Linked DNA regions of Kluyveromyces lactis. The protein of the gene in region 1 interacts with the protein of each later gene in a pairwise test. Links are inferred from orthologs where the notes say so. Each region holds a gene or a part of one and is shown on either strand. Other genes may lie near its edges.

Region 1 (3,573 bases):
TTATGAAGGTTCAAAAAGATTAGTTGATTTGTTACATTCTGCAACATATAAAGAGATGAAAAAGCTCGGAATCCGCCAATATCTCACCCATCCTGGTATTTTTACCAGTCTCTCATTTTTCCAATATTTGAATGTTTTCACCTACTATGGTATGCTCTTCTTATTCTATCTGGCCAGATGGATTGGTTCACCTTGGCACAACATACAAGGATACAAAGCAGCCAATGCTCCTGTATATGTAGCAACAATGGCTAATCCGCACTTTGAGAAGGAGCAAATGAAATACGGATCGGCAACTTTTAGAGACGGTTTAGAATATATTAAAACTGATGAAGTTGATACAACCGGCTGTGAAGATGTGTATAAATACATCTCCAATTTGAAACTGCAATGGGATGAAAAGTTAAAAGACCAGATTAAGCCTACAAGGATACCATTATAAATTTTACATAATTCAAATAAATCGTGTAGAATTATTGTTTATCGTAATGTTGCGTGCGAGTTGCTTATAAGTTACATATTAGATGAAGGATCATTTGAAAGTAGTCACATACTATTTGAAAGTGAGGACTTAAGGATTCGAAAATACATATACAGACTTTAGAGCTGAAGTACAGTAAATCTTGAAATATCGCTGTATTATCTCTTTAATGCCATCAAAGAAGCAACGAATGTCAATATCAATCTCGAACGGACTTCGTTGATGTCTTCTGGAACCAACCAGATTAGAGCTCCTAACTTTCTAGCAATAGAAATAGCCAATCTGGCGTTTGCATATCTGTCCTCTTCAGTTTTACCAGGTAACACTAATGAGTAGTCCACATAACCTGGGGCCAAACCATTTAGGACATCCAATAAGAAGTGAGCGTTGGACAACGAAGGATCGCTGAAAGATCTTATGGTGGATGATTTTCCACCCTTGGAAACTGTTTCTTGAGCCCACTTTAAGATTTGGGAATCAGACATATCTCTACCAGTCGTGGCCAATTCATTCATTGTATTGACAATATTCTTACGCATTAACTGCCACACCAAACCTAGCGTTAGTAGTTTATTACCGTCGACAATATCAGAGCCATCAATACCAACCAAAGAGAATCCTCTAGATTTACCTAAATCAACAGCATAGTTAGTATTTTCCAAAGCCTTGAAGCGTGAAAGTTCAGAGTCAGATGATTTCTTGTTGATTACCTTCCAGTTTACAGATCCAGGAATAACCTTATCATATGCCTGTAGAAGTACTAATCCATCCTTTAAGTCTTCGAATAGTGACACAACTGGAGGATCTACTTCCAAAGAATTTAACCACAAAGTGAAAACTCTGGCTTCTCTCTCACCTTCTGCATCGAAATCCTCAATTTCGATAGGTTCGTTTTCATCCAATGGATCCAAACCAGGATGAGTGTTGAATAGATGAGCAACGAAGGCTAAGTTTAATTTAGGATTACCAGCCACTAATGCCGTTGGAGTCAAATACTTTCTGCATTCCAATTTTTCAGCGTTTTGTAAAACTTCTTCTGCTCTTTCTAGCAAATCGGTGGTTTGTAGTGGTCCCAATGAGCATAGATTTGAATCCAATTGATTTAATAATACAGTATAATTTTCACCATCCTTGATATCAGAAGAGAAATTGGAGACCCTTCTGTGCCACCCAGCTTGTTTCAAATGGTAGTTGAACCAACGCAACAAGATTTGTTCTGGGGGTAGTCTTAGGAATTGCTCCAAAGTTTCATCTTCTTCTAATAAACGGTACAATTCCGGGTGTAATTTGATATCAATCTTGGATAGCAAACCTCTCCTAATAATTTGCCAAATTAAACCTAAGATCAAATGTTCTTTACCTTCAATAATATCTTCAGAGTGAACATTAACCACAACACAGCCGATAGCTTTAGCGGAATTGATCACAATGTTGGCGTTTTCGGAAGCCGTGAAAGTGTTCAAAGCCTTGTTATTCTTAGGCCAGTTTAACACTCTGGTATCGATGGTGTCCGGGACAGAATCGTTAATCAACTTGGACAACACCAACCCATCTCTACATTCGTCGAATAATTGGAAAGTATCGGTAGGGAAAGGAAGCCTATGACCAATGTCTGCGTCCCCAGCTAGCACGGAATTGATATGTGTAGTGAAAGCCCTTCTTTCTTCTTCATTAATCGTGTGGGTGGTACCAGAAGTGGAACCACCGACAATAATCTGAGCTTTCTCACCAGTACCTTTGTGTTGCAAACCAATCGATTTAGGTTTAGTTGGAACCGGTGGTGCACGGTTGCTCTGACCGGAAATGTTAGGAAAGCTCGTTTGTGGGAACCCCTTTGAATTGTCTTCGTCCTGTTGCGTACCTTGAGATGAACCGTTTGCTCTTAATTTTGCCATCAATTCCACGTAATCCTCCAATTCAACATGACCCGAAGCATCTACATCAACGGTCTTCAAAGTCTCCCTAGCTTCATCATAAGATGCAACACCAGACTTGGAAATGGATTCCAAAATTTGAGGTTTTTCAACCCAGCCCTTATCCTCTAGATCGATGTTTCGAAAATGCTCTATCGTTTCGAAGAGATCTTCCTGAGAAAACTCAGGGAACTTTCTTTGTAATCTAATAATATTCATTATTGATCAGTTTATATTGCTGTGATTCCAATCAATTGCACTAATACTGCAAGTTGTAAACCGTATAGGCAGAAGGAAAGACGAGGGCTTCCTTTCTTGTTTCGGGCGTGGAATACGGCTTTCAAGGTTTATGTTTTATATTCCACCATGTTAAACTTTATTCTTTAAAGGGCTTTTCGATTGGAAATGGAAAAGGAGAGAGTATGTGATGTTCGTATGTTATGATAATTGAAGGGAATTAAAGCCAGTACAAGCCTCCTGGTTCAGCAGTCTGATCATACGGTGCTTTACACGGGTTTCATCGTCCGTCTATCCATTTGCGTATGCTATTTATGCTTGTCGCAGTCTATTTGCATTAGATATATTGGGATATTCCGCACTGTGGAATAATCTTGTGAGCTGTGAGGGATGAAATAGTCACAGGAGTTAATACTACTAGCCAGCTATTCAGTGTTTTCCTCGTACTTCCACGCCTCATTTTGGACAAATGCTGTTTGGAACTGCCGGAGCTGTTTGTATAGATCTTGAGATGAGTTCGAGTAATCGAATTTCGGACTTGTTTCTGGCATGTCATCATCCATTAAATCTAGCTGTTCTCTCCATAGCGTTTGGTAATACGGTACATTGAGCCTGGATTCAGGTATTGCTCTATCTTTATCAAAAAGTCTTCTCATGGCAACCTCTTGTTGTTGCAATTGATCCACTTTTGTCTTGTTTAGTATATTATCATGGAGTATGAAAGGTGACGGATCGTATTTGAAACTGAGAGTGTTTTCAGATATCCCTGGTGCCCTTTGTTTCCCATTCATATCCCTGTTTCTATTGCGTTCATTCTTGTAATTCAACGGAGTGTAGAGCGAAGAGTCGCTGAATACATTTGCCGATGTGCCCATCCCAACGTTGAAATCCTCATCTGTTGAGTGTTTGACATGTTTGATCCTGCGGAACTGCGGGCTTTTC
Region 2 (1,976 bases), on another chromosome or scaffold:
TTTAGGTCTCTCTACGGAATTGGCCTCTTCATTTGCTGTATCATTCTCTGTTATGAACTTATCAGTCTCTTCTGAAGGTTTTGCTTCATCTTTATCATTGAGTTTGACCTTCTTCACAGGAGTTTCTGTGCTTTCTAATTCCGAATTCACCTCAGGAAGCGCACGTTTATTGCTATCGTTTAAAGTTTCTGGCATTGTGAAAAGCAGGAACAATATACTGGAGCCTTCTTGACAATATTATAACCCTTTCTTGGCATATGTCTGTGCTTTCAATAAGAACTGAATGTTTAAAACTAGTACTTTCTCTTTTTTTTTTTTTTGGAAATACTAACTCTGAGAGGTCCCAGTAATACTTAATAAAGGGCCTGCACTCCATGTGAACAAAGGCCAAACAAACAAAGATCCGTAATGATCGCCCATTGGTAGGTGAAACTGGATCATATACGTTAGAGTAAATATATCATACTAAATTAAGTAAAATCGTACTGTTATATAGTTCTTTATACAGTTCTTCTATCCGAGAGATAGTGAACGATTGGATTGACACCCGCAACTTGCGTTAACTTTTCGAACCATGCGAGAAGGATACCCCCATGCTTTTGACCCTCAGGTATAGACATACCCTTGTATAGGTATTTTATCAATGCGTCTTGTTGCTTGCGATCCAAGCGCTTAACTATATTAGCAATATCCACTTGTCTCACTTGGGTTAGCACCTCCAATATACCAGAGAAATATTGTGATTTCGCTTGTTCGTCGGCGTTGTATGGAGGATCAGTTGTGAATAGCTCAACAGCAGCTGCAAAATCACCAGATGATGTGTAAGAACGTAACTGTTGAATGGTTGGCTGTAACTCTTGTAAACTCACGGTATGTGAATATGGTGGTTTCAAATCATCCGCCGTTAATCTCCCACTTTCAGGATCGTAAGCATCGATATCAATTCTTCTCCAGTCTTCCATATTACTAGTTCAGAAGGCAGCTGCTTGGATGAATACGATAAGGATAATTCAGCGCTAATGCTTCCTGATAAAAGAAGTAGACCGGCCTGCAGTTATTTCGAGTATTTTAACCTAATCCATTTAAAGGTTTCCATTCAATATGAATCCCATTCAATAGTAACTTATAGGAGATATCCGGGTAATAAATCTGGAAACAGGGTAACTATGGTTTACAGCACTGGACCGATTGACTGTTTATCACTGACAGGAAGAACGATAAGCAGATGATAACATTATCTTCTTATACATATATATTAACTAAGTTCAAATTGATATAGATATACGGGTTATTCTTTGGTGGTTCCGTTTATTGAATAATCTTATTGTCTGGAATACCGTCGTATTCACCGTAACTCAAGGCCAGGTTGATGTTCTGTAAGCATTGAGTGGCAGCACCCTTCAATAAGTTGTCAATAGTAGCACAGACTACGACACGGTCTTTTGCATCATTTACCTTGAAACCACCAACAACTACTCCGTGAGTACCAGAAACGTCCTTAACTAACGGAATATCATCGGCAACATGTACCAACTTTTCGTTAGCGTAGAATTCGGTGTACAAGGCCTTAATTTGTTCTGAAGATAGTGAGTTCTTCTTAATAGGAATAGAAATAGTATGAGAAATACCTTGGAACCATTGGGCAACATGAGGAACAAATGCGACTTCCAAACCCAAACGAGTTGAAATTTCACGCTCATGGATATGGTTTGTTAAGGAGTAAGGAATTAGATTGTTGTTCAAGAATTTTGGATCATTCTTTGGAGATGGTGTAGTACCAGCACCAGAATAACCAGAAACACCAAAGACTGTGGGTAATCCTGTGATGTATTCCGATAGAGGAGCAATCGCTACTTGGGCACCGGTGGCGTAACAACCGGGGTTAGCAATCTTTTTAGCATTGGCAATTGCTTCTCTGTTGTTTAACTCTGGTAATCCGTAGCTCCATTCCGTCTCCGGGACAAATCTATGATCAG

The links.
Region 2: the proteins of SAC6 (region 1) and ARC15 interact in a protein complementation assay, tested with the Saccharomyces cerevisiae proteins (2 studies listed by BioGRID). The link is inferred for Kluyveromyces lactis from reciprocal best matches to the Saccharomyces cerevisiae genes SAC6 and ARC15.

The regions. Positions count from the first base shown.
Region 1 is NC_006042.1:1,831,088-1,834,660, forward strand, and holds SAC6 (fimbrin), read right to left. Parts: upstream 2,614-3,573; coding exon 640-2,613; downstream 1-639. Other genes in the region: ERG27 (3-keto-steroid reductase), read left to right, coding at 1-442; KLLA0_F19800g (uncharacterized protein), read right to left, coding at 3,057-3,573. UniProt on the Saccharomyces cerevisiae protein: Binds to actin, and functionally associates with actin structures involved in the development and maintenance of cell polarity.
Region 2 is NC_006039.1:699,713-701,688, forward strand, and holds ARC15 (Arc15p), read right to left. Parts: upstream 963-1,976; coding exon 501-962; downstream 1-500. Other genes in the region: YRB2 (Yrb2p), read right to left, coding at 1-195; ARG56 (bifunctional acetylglutamate kinase/N-acetyl-gamma-glutamyl-phosphate reductase), read right to left, coding at 1,309-1,976. UniProt on the Saccharomyces cerevisiae protein: Functions as a component of the Arp2/3 complex which is involved in regulation of actin polymerization and together with an activating nucleation-promoting factor (NPF) mediates the formation of branched actin networks.